2 linked regions of the Drosophila melanogaster genome follow. The protein of the gene in region 1 purifies or fractionates together with the protein of each later gene. This does not show direct contact. Each region holds a gene or a part of one and is shown on either strand. Other genes may lie near its edges.

Region 1 (4,989 bases):
AAGAAACGTCATTTCATTTTGCAATCACAATTGAATAGTATACACTTTCTTATATAAGGTAAGCATTTCAAAAAAACCGCTCTATGTTGGTTTGGTAGTTTTGGTATATTTAGTTAGCATATTTTGGCACATTTTGTCTATTGCAATCGCTGAAATCGATAGTGCTGTCGCCGTATCAACAGTGTTATCGGAGACGGCTTGTGTAATAAAAACAAAAATTGAATTAAAAATTTCCGTAAATGCAGGGCAGTAACTTGTAATCGAATAAGAATTCAGATTTCGTACTGCACTCAGGTGCCATCAGTGAACAAGGATTTCCGACCAATGGTGCGTGTTTGAGCTGGTGATAACAGATGGCCAAGGGTCGGTGGTCGATCAATTTGGAACCAAGGTTACGAATCTCAATAAATTGAAACTGATTGGGCATTTTGTGTGATTACAGTGCTCGCGAAAGAGTCTGGACTTGAGACAGGGATCGAACGTCAATTAACCTATGCTGCCCGCCATCATTTTCCGGCAGGTGCAGCGCCCACTGCACCATGGAGCCGCCACATTGGAGCACGTTTTGGGAGTCGGCGGAAGCAGCTTCGTGAACTGCCTGAATCGCTATGCGGCCGCCACGGGATTCATTCGGATCTCGTTTCTGGACATTAAGCGGCGCAGGAACTACGAGTTAGCCAGACTTCGCCTCTATGCCGATGAGAAGAAGCAGTCGCTCCATTTGCGCACCTTGCAGGGACGCCATCTCCTGCAGGGTGTCATCGAAAGGAAGAACTTCCTGGTGGATGACATCCGGGAGGCCAGGCACAAAGTCCAGGAGCGGGTGCGCGAGAAGATCGACGAGATACGCGAAGAGCGAGAGAACATTATGACCATACCCAACATGCTGACCATCAGTCGTGCCGTCCTCTCACCCTACATCGGATATGTTATAGTCCAGGGCGATTTCACCCTGGGCATGAGCCTTCTAGCGTTCGCCGGCATCACAGATCTGGTGAGTTTCCCAGGACCACCATTTTCAACGGAATAGATCCTCTAGTATTTAAGAAATGCTGAAAACATGATGTGGTGTGATCTAATGCATTATTTATTGTCTTGTTTTCTGCCCGGTCTGTGTTTTGTTTTCCTCTACATTTATAGTACTTTTTAGAACCAAAATATCTATACATACTCTTGAATTTTTTACCCGAATTGCCCAGACGAAACCAAAAATAGTTCGTGTATCTAAATAACACACACACGTTTAATTCCTGTAAGATACTTAGATAAATTTGAAACATTGAAACTTTCTTGGTAATGACATTTGTTTTTTCCTGTTTCTTTAGTTGGATGGACAGATCGCACGACGGTGGCCTTCGCAGGCGAGCAAGTTCGGTTCCTTCCTGGACCCCATGGCTGATAAGTTGCTGATGGGCTCGCTGGTCATCTCGCTGTGCTACACGGACCTGCTGCCCATGTGGCTCATGGGCATCGTGGTGTTCCGGGATGTCTTTCTTCTAGGAGCTGGATTTGTTATACGCTACATAAGTCTGCCACCGCCGGTAAGTGAAGGATTTACCTACATTTTTGTGGCATTTGTTTATAATCATTTACCTTTCCTCGGCAGAAAACCTTTTCGCGCTACTTCGACGCCACCCATGTTACTGCCCAACTGGAGCCCACGCTGCTCAGCAAGATCAACACGGGCGTCCAGTTGGCCACCATTGGACTGAGCCTGGGAGCTCCCATTTGGAACTATTTGGGTGAGATACAGCAAACACTTTTATCACTACTGATGGATTAATCAATTCTGTATCATCCCATTCCAGATCACCCAGCTTTGCAGGGACTTTGGTATCTGACTGGCCTGACTACGGCTGCCACTGCCCTCAGCTACGTCATGAATCGGCATAATACCTTTAAGATTATCCAAAAAAAGACGTAGGGCCGGGCATTTCCGCTAAATATCTGAGTACTATGAAGGAGTAGTATCTCTCCTTAAGCAATGATTAGTATGTACCATGTTTTCTAAATGATTAACATATTAAATTTAAAAAAATCTATTTTGTTAATAAATTTTAAGTGTTTTTCCACAATTATATGATGTTATGAATTTACAAAGGGAAAATTTAAAATTGTGATAAAAAAAAATACTTGTGCCAGTGTGACCAGATAGTAGGAAACACAGCCATATGGTAGAGTGACCGCCTCAAAAATACCGGAAATGTTGCCACTAAGTATCGATAAAAAGACGACGTTTTGCCATCTCTAAAATCTCCCCTTCTTTTCTTTTCGCCCGTTTCCGGTGAGTGGTGTGTTCCGCGTGTAAATTTTGTTAAATTTTAGCCAAAATATAAATTTCTACGCTGCGGTAGGAATGCGAGTGGCGTGCAATGTACAGGCTATGCCCCCTCAAAATGGATAATGATTTTAAAAGGAGGAAAAATACGGTTTTAGTCCCGTAGAGCAGAAAAAAAAGATTCTATGGTGGCTCTGCCTCCCATCTCTTCTATGAAAAAAACAATATCTGGTTATAACTTACCACATGGTTTAGCCGACTATGACTTCTGAGTTGCATATGATTTGTGTATGCCAGTTTGAATATATTATGTGTGTTAACAGATAATAAGTGAATTCAAGACATCCGGCAAACTAATACTACAATACCAAGCACACAATGACCAAAAACGTGTTGCTTTAAAAACCTATTTTGGTTTACTTGCAGATGATGTTATAAACTCTGCCGCCAAATAGTTATTAAATAATGTTTTGAGATCTGACGATTTTACTAACGTTTTTCCCTTAATTTACAGAGCAAACCGCCAAGATGAGGAAAATCATGAAGCAGGGCAAGATCGTAATCGTCCTTAGCGGACGTTACGCCGGTCGCAAGGCCATCATCGTCAAGACCCACGACGATGGAACCCCGGAGAAGCCCTTCGGACACGCCCTCGTCGCCGGTATCGATCGCTACCCGCGCAAGGTGACCAAGAAGATGGGCAAGAACAAGCTGAAGAAGAAGTCCAAGGTCAAGCCCTTCCTGAAGAGCCTGAACTACAATCATCTGATGCCCACCCGCTACACGGCGCACGACATCAGCTTTGAGAAGCTGTCGCCCAAGGACCTGAAGGATCCCGTAAAGCGCAAGACGCACCGCTTCCAGACCCGCGTCAAGTTCGAGTCCGTCTACAAGGAGGGCAAGAACAAGTGGTTCTTCCAGAAGCTGCGTTTCTAAGCTGCCCATTCGCTACTTGTGGTTACTGGATTTGTCGCTCTTTTTTAAGGTTTAATAAACAAAGAAGTAATTCTGATAAAACTGACCGAAGTGGATCCTGTGCCTTCTTATTAAGTGTGCAAGTGGGACAAACGTGCCTATGGTGATGAAAGTATATAGAATACTTTGAGTAGGAAGTGTACAAGAGGTATTTGGACCCAAGTCATCAACAAATTTCAAAATATAAGGCAAAATATCAAATTCGCTTCTGGATCATTTTAAAATATAGTGCAAATTCCATAGCCTTAACCGCCCGAATCCAAAACATAATAGTTACAGTGTCTTTTTTACTTTTTCCTTTACTAATAAATATTCGAACAGAATAATACATTTTGTTTGAATCAACTTTTCAATATTACAAATCTTTTGGAAAATTTACAATTTAATATCGCTTTGATTGACTACTTGTGGAACTTGCTTGGCTTTTGAAGAGCTCAAAGTGTGTTATTCTTGTTGTTCATGAACTGTTGCCTTAGGGTATTTTGGAAATTAAGTAAAATAAAAGAAAATATACAGCTTTCAGTAGGGAGTTTAAAAGAAAGATTCAGAGTGCAAAAACATTGGATAGGGCCGGCAAGAAAATCTGTGGAATATAAGATAAAACTGGATTAGAATCTTATCAATCGAACCTGGGGATAAATGAAGCTAAAAAATATTTGGAGTTTGTATTACCTGAATTATCACACTTGGACATCGAATGAACACACAATGGACATTTAGCCGGGGTAACATATTTTGTTTGGGTTAAGCAGCGGAATAATTCAACCTCGATTTGATTATACCGATTTTTCTGGGCATCACATTAACGCTGAATGCATTGGCTTTGGGGTACAAGATGTCTCAAATTGGCTTAGTTGTGGGGTTAATAAAATTTTGACTTTTTTTTTTTTTGTATTAGACTTGGTTCGATTTGGTTTATCTTGCTGAATTTGTTAGCAGTTGGTTGAATTCGGTAGTGCGATAGTGCCTAAATTTGGCTAAAATAGTTTCCATGTGGCCTGCGGAGCGGTAAAGCGTTTTTGGATTTTCAGGGAGAGGAGAAAAAACAGAATAATTTTGTTCATTAGAGCTGCACAAGGACAATTTGGTTACACGTTCAAAACGAAAATACTACATACTTGTGTGTACTGAATGTGTGTGGTAGTGTGTTCTACTGGGGCACTACTTAGGACAAATATACAATAGAAAATAGTTCAACGAAGCAATTGCTAAACATAAGTCCAATTTATATAAACAAATTTTAAGTAGCCTCTTATAGGTGACAATCGAGCATGTGTCACCCAAGAAGAAGTACTTAAAACTAAAAGATATAAGGCAACCAAAAAGTTAGTGATTAAGTGAAGTCTGTGGTGTGCTGGTTGGTTAGGACACAGTTAGGCCAATTCGGCAATAACACTTACAGTTCTGCTGAAGTAATCAGTAAGTAATTAAAATAATACAATAACAGCATGAAATTATAATACAAGAAGGCCCGCCTACGCTGGGCCCATCGCGACAGTGAAGTAAAAGGGGACAAGCGATAGATGTTTGTTTGCTTAAAACTTAATAGAAAATACAACACTTGGTTGTGACAGCGAAATAAAAGAACATATAGAACTACTCTAAATGCAGACGATTATTTTACCAATTCACGCGCTTGGCACTCAAGATCTTGAGTATATTCTCAACCACATCGGTACTGGAGTTGGTGCCGCCAATATCTGTAAGAGATTTAGATGATAAAGGTGATTCTGTTT
Region 2 (5,761 bases), 560 kb from region 1:
TAACAGCAGGAGATTGACTGTTTTTGTTATTATTCGCATTGGTGTTAGGGCCCTTTTTTGTGGGTGGAGCTACACTGGGCTTGTTTCTTATTTGCAATTGCTCTTTGAGTTTCATTACGGCAATATGTTTTTTACCACTAAGGTGGCTAAACAAATTTTTGTCGCCGAACTGAACAACACGGCAAATATTACAATTGTATTTCCGAAGCGGGTATGAGGGGGTTACCAATGTTTCCCATTTGCTAGTTGGATTGTTACGGAATTCAAGTTGTAATATTTCCTCCAATGATATTTTTGACAACATATCAAGAAATTTGGTCCCATCCATGGGTTTGTTTTCAATGTTTTTGGTATTCATTTTGTGGTTGTAATACCTTTAAACATTAAACAGTTTTCATGTGGCTCGGAGAAAGTTAATTTTTCTTTCGGTTTTGATACAAATTTGATTTTTCTTTTGATTTCAGATATTGAGATGCTATAAAATTGAAGGAAAAAATGTTTTTTATATAGAATTTAAGCAGTAATAACAAAAAGTTAGTCTTACTCTATTAAGCTGATTTTCTATTGATCTACGAAATCAGTAAATACTAAATTTCTTAGACTACGGCATACAGTTCAAATTAGAAAAGTCGGTAAAAATTTAGGAATATGCGATTACATTTATAGGAATTATACAGTCCTGGCCTTTCATGACGTCTATTTCTTTCGGCAATACAATTATATGACTACATGCGCTAAAATTATGACCCAGCAAAAGAGGACTATGCCATAACTAGTGGAACTTATTGAAATACAATGTCAGCTCCTTAACTCGGTTATGAAAAGCATTGAACTTAATTGAAGCGTTATGTAGTCAAAAAGCAGGGTTTCTGTTGCCTTTGCTTGAATTTAGCATACTATGCGGGTAAAACAAAAATATAAATGTCGCATATTAAAAAGTTAATATTTTCTTTTTTAGATCAGCAAATAGATGCTTTTTAAAATTCATTCGATATGGTAAACTCGCATCTTGACTCCACTTTCATAAAAAGTTGAAATCGATAATGATGTTAAATTACTCATATATAGTAAATCAGCTTTGTATTTGTAATTAAATACACATTCTTTAAAAAGTACCTGTCCAAAGGGCATAATTCTTGCTGATGCCTGAGATTAGTCAACTGCTTTTTTTGCAGAACAAGCCCCTTTTTTTGCTGAGTAGAAGGTTTTATGTGAATGTATCCTTCTTTTACAGCCGGAAATCCAAGATCCATGCTACATTTCTACCAAGTGTATGAAATGTTTCACATCACTTGTTTCCATTTGTGATACGCTACCATATAAGGAACATACCTACTGAGGGTGCAAAAGTAACAGTTAGGCCAGACGTTATCTATGAGAAGGGGTAGAACCACCCCTGGAAAACTCGGATAAAAACCAAAAGTCGACATATGCATAAAAGCAATAGGAGCCGCATTGCCTGACCGAATATGATAATATTGTCGATTTCTGCGCGACACAGCTCCAAAAAAGGTAGAACAAAAAAGTCCGTAAATGACATCACGATATTTTTGGCAAGTTTTTAAAGCAAATTGGTTTTCTCACTTAAAAACTTTCAAAAACATGCCTGCCAAAGCCAGTTTTGCGCAGCTGAAGAGGTCAAGGTAAAATCCATTTAGAGAACAGTAAAATCCCCAAGCTCCAAAAAAAAAAAAAACAAACAAACGAAATTCACAAGAACTGCATATAGCAGGCGAAGATATTGATTTTTTTGTTTATGCATGTCCCGCGTTCACATGAGGAAATGGGGAAACCAACTGAAACACACACACTTAGACTTAGCCTTATGAATAACTTATGAATATTATCGAAATGGATATGTGTGGATTGTATCTTATTTGAGGACTCACCGGCGAAACGCAAACGCGGCCCTCTAACCACTTGCAAATACTTGGGGGCCCGTTGGACGTAAATGTGGATGGGGGCTATTGGGTGCTCGATATCCCTCTCCTCTTCGTCGCTTCCAATATTCCAATTCGATGACAGTCGCTGCTTCGCTCGTCTGCTCTCTCGCGGTTCGGTACGCAATGGCCACAATTCACGATGGACTCGCTTTCAATTACAAGGATAATTTGCCTTTACTTAAATTTATTACTTGCATCAGGCCGAAGAGGACAGAGAATTTCGATGGCAACGCATCAAAGAAACAAATGTCACATTTGTCTCTACGGGCCCAAAAGTTGTTCTCCTTCTGGCGATGGGCCGACTGCTAGAGCTGGTAGTGACCTCTACCTGCAATCGATTAATCGATTGAGTACATTTCGGTATTATTTATGAAATGGAAATTTAAATATAATGTGAAATTTTTTGATATAGAGTGAATTATTATAAATATGGAAATCAATAATTACCATTCACATTTTACGTTATTTCAAAACAATCGATAATTACCATTATTCTGTACAGTTGCTCGTTACTCACCATTTGGTATCTATCGGTTAAACATTTATAATAATATTTGGTTATATTAATAAAATTGCAACACCTTCAAAATAGTTTAAATTTGTTATACATTTTTAAGGTATAACTTTTCCTAAATTATTGTAAATATACATATATGGTTTATTTAAGGCTGTAAATTATCAAATCCCTTTTCAAAAACCAACCATTGTTCAGAAAATATAAATTATATATTTTAATTTTTACAGATATATACTGATATTGAACCGGCAACTATCGATTGTCGAAATGCAATTAGCGGAGAAACATATCGTGGCCCTTATGTTTCCTGCAATCGATGTTTCTACCTTCACTTTCGTTTCCGGCGTGGTGCGTAAGTTGCTCCGCGTTTTCGCAATTTTAAGCGATTATCACTTTGTTTGAACTCTAGGCCGGCCATGTGCCTATAAGTTAACAGCAAAGCATATCGTCGCCATTGGGACCAAAGTAACTCTCAAATCTGGTTCAATTTTAATCCGTAGAAATTTTACATCATGGACAATTCTGGAAATAACCGCTACGAGCTGTTGTTCATGGACGACGATGACTCCTCTGGGCTCGCACAGCCACAGATTGCCGCTGTAGTCGCGGCGCCCAAGAAGCCGGAACCGGCAAAGGCGCCAAAGGCACCAAAGAGCAAGTCGGAGAAGGAGAACAAGCCGGTTGTGGCTGCCCGCAAGGCCAACGCTCCGGTGGCTAAAAACGCTAGTCCAGTGAAAGGCGGCAAGGGTCCCGCTGGCGGGGATGTGGGTCGTCCCAAGAACCCAACAGCAAACGGTGCCAACAACCAGGGCAGGTTCAACAACAACCAACGCTACGGAAATAAGGAGTCGAACGGAGAATTCGGAAACGAGTTGCCGCAGCGTCAATTCAACAATCGTGACAACAGGGGACCACCACGCGTCCGTACCGGCGAGAAGTTCGGAAAGCGCGAGTTCGATCGCCAGTCGGGATCCGATAGAACTGGTAATTATGTCTAGATTCTTCTGTCCTTGGTTTTCGTGTTTGCTTCTCAAGTGAATCCGTTTTTTCTGCGTGGAAAATGCTGCCCTGTAATGGCGGCATGCTGCAAAATATAGAGAAAACGCAACCCTTGGCAACAAGATTGATTACATATCGCGTATTTCTCACGTGACTTTTAGGCATTTGTAATACGCAAAACGTTTGAAAACGTGTTTGTAAATATTAATTTTAAATGATGAAATAATGAAATTACTGCGTTGCAAACTCGTGTGTTCACACATGTGTTTTCTTGGACATTTTTTTGTTTGATTTTTTTGATTTTTGATCTTATAATTTATTAATTTATTAATTCGTTACCGAAAATATAAAATTCGTTTGGTTAAACTTTTAATTTGTCTTATACGGCAAACATTTTCCCGAAAATCCTCTTTACTCATATCGATTGAAGCCTATTAATAGCTGATTTATTCTCCACAGGCGTCAAGTCAATTGACAAGCGCGAAGGCGGTGGTGCCCACAACTGGGGCTCCCCGAAGCAGGACATTGAGGACTTAAAGACGACCGGGGAGACCTCACCGCAGGCGGAAAAGGAGGACTCGGCCAACGAACAGTCGGCTGATCCCGCGGTCGCCGCCGAAGAGGATGAGTCCAAGCAGATGACCCTTGACGAGTGGAAGGCTTTGAGAGACCAGCGTGCCAAGCCCAACTACAATTTGCGCAAAGCGGGCGAGGGAGCCGCCGACAATGCCGAGTGGAAGAAGATGATCGTGCTGAGCAAGAAGAAGGAGAGCAACAGCGAAGACGAGTTGGAGTATGATCCATCGCTGTATCCTCAGCGCGTGGGCCGCCTTCAGCGCATCGTGGACATCCAGTTCAACTTCAATGATGGACGCAAGGTCGGATTCCGCAAGGGACCTCGCCCCGGAGCCGGTCCTCGCGAGGGTGGCTTCCGCAATGACGGACCTCGCGGAGAAGGTGGCTATCGCAATGACGGACCTCGCGGAGAAGGTGGTTATCGCAACGACGGACCTCGCGGAGAGGGTCCACGCAATGAGGGACCGCGTGGAGAAGGCTACCGCAATGACGGACCGCGTGGAGAGGGATTCCGTGGTCCCCGCTTTAACAACGGACCCAGCAACGGCTATGAAAACAGACAAGACAACAACAGATTCGGAGAGAAACGCCGCTCCGCCCAGAAGCCACTGAAGGTTGACGATGAAGCTCAATTCCCCACTCTGTGCTAGGAGTTGAGAACAACAATAAGATTTAATAATTTCGCGTATTAAATAATTAGTAAGCTGGTCCTTCGGTTAACAAATAACCATTAGATTTTCGGGCGCGATCTATGAAGCTTGACGACCGATTAATAAACAGAAACAAATCAGCCACGCTTATCCATATTCCTTAGTTGTAAACAAAAATTTTTGCATTTTTCACTCTCATCATTTACGCATAAAAAAAACTATTACAAATAGTTGGAATGTTGAAATAAATTTACATCAATTACAAACCAAGGAATAATAATTAATTAGGTTTTTATTAGCTTAATTCGCTGCCATCCTTAATCTTTTGAATGAATGCACTTAATTCTTGCGCCGAATACGATTTCTTTCGGCTCTTCTTCGGCGGCGCGGCTTCCATAGATGACGGTTCACGTTTGGTCTGAGAATAGATTGAATTTTTTTAGAACTGCAATTACAGGAAATGTTTTAAGAACCTACGAAGTGTCTGTACTCGGGCGAAATGGACTCCAGTTGCAGCAGTCTATTTTCCACTCGTTTGATTCTACTGAAAATGTTTTCCTCGTTGTCGGTGGTTAGACCCATGTACGATTCAATTGCCTGTAGTCGTGAATTGGGTAGCGATTTCCTCATTTCTTTGGTTGGATCCGTTTGACCGTCACGCGATCCCATTAGTTTATTCAGTTCGAGTTCGTAGTTGGGTCGCATTTCCATTTGCTGAGGTCCGCATCGGTTGTTTACTCGTCGGACTGTGATAGGTTGTTTGTAGACCAAAGTGGCTATAGTTATGAAAATAGAGCATCGTTTACCCACCTTTTAAATGGCAATTTGACTGCTCCTGCTTAATAATTGTGCTCTGCGTTCGAGCGCAGGAATCGCTCAAGTTTTGGTCTGAGCTGACAAAAGACGATTTGAAGTCAATTACATTTTGTGAGTTTATTTCGTCTCGTTTTCTGTTGACAAAACATTCTAAACGCTTGGTTAACTCAGCGTCATTAACTCTAATTTGCACCAGAGTTCGCGGGACGTCATGTGACTCCTCAACTTTGCAGGGACAAGCGGCGTAGTTGAAGCCACTT

What was found. The genes of interacting proteins can lie anywhere in the genome.
Region 2: the proteins of RpL27 (region 1) and vig2 fractionate together in Drosophila melanogaster (co-fractionation; one study listed by BioGRID). This does not show direct contact.

Annotation. Positions count from the first base shown.
Region 1 is NT_033777.3:25,682,320-25,687,308, reverse strand, and holds RpL27 (ribosomal protein L27), read left to right. Parts: upstream 1-2,257; 5' UTR 2,258-2,350; intron 2,351-2,792; 5' UTR 2,793-2,806; coding exon 2,807-3,214; 3' UTR 3,215-3,686; downstream 3,687-4,989. Other genes in the region: CLS (cardiolipin synthase), read left to right, coding at 494-994, 1,326-1,541, 1,607-1,742, 1,809-1,924; Idh3g (isocitrate dehydrogenase (NAD(+)) 3 non-catalytic subunit gamma), read right to left, coding at 4,221-4,251, 4,878-4,953.
Region 2 is NT_033777.3:25,120,672-25,126,432, forward strand, and holds vig2 (vig2), read left to right. Parts: upstream 1-2,701; 5' UTR 2,702-2,727; coding exon 2,728-2,808; exon of another isoform or gene 2,809-2,960; coding exon 2,961-3,444; intron 3,445-3,918; coding exon 3,919-4,685; 3' UTR 4,686-4,827; downstream 4,828-5,761. Other genes in the region: CG31510 (uncharacterized protein), read right to left, coding at 1-358; Mocs2B (molybdenum cofactor synthesis 2B), read right to left, coding at 4,981-5,103, 5,163-5,431, 5,496-5,761.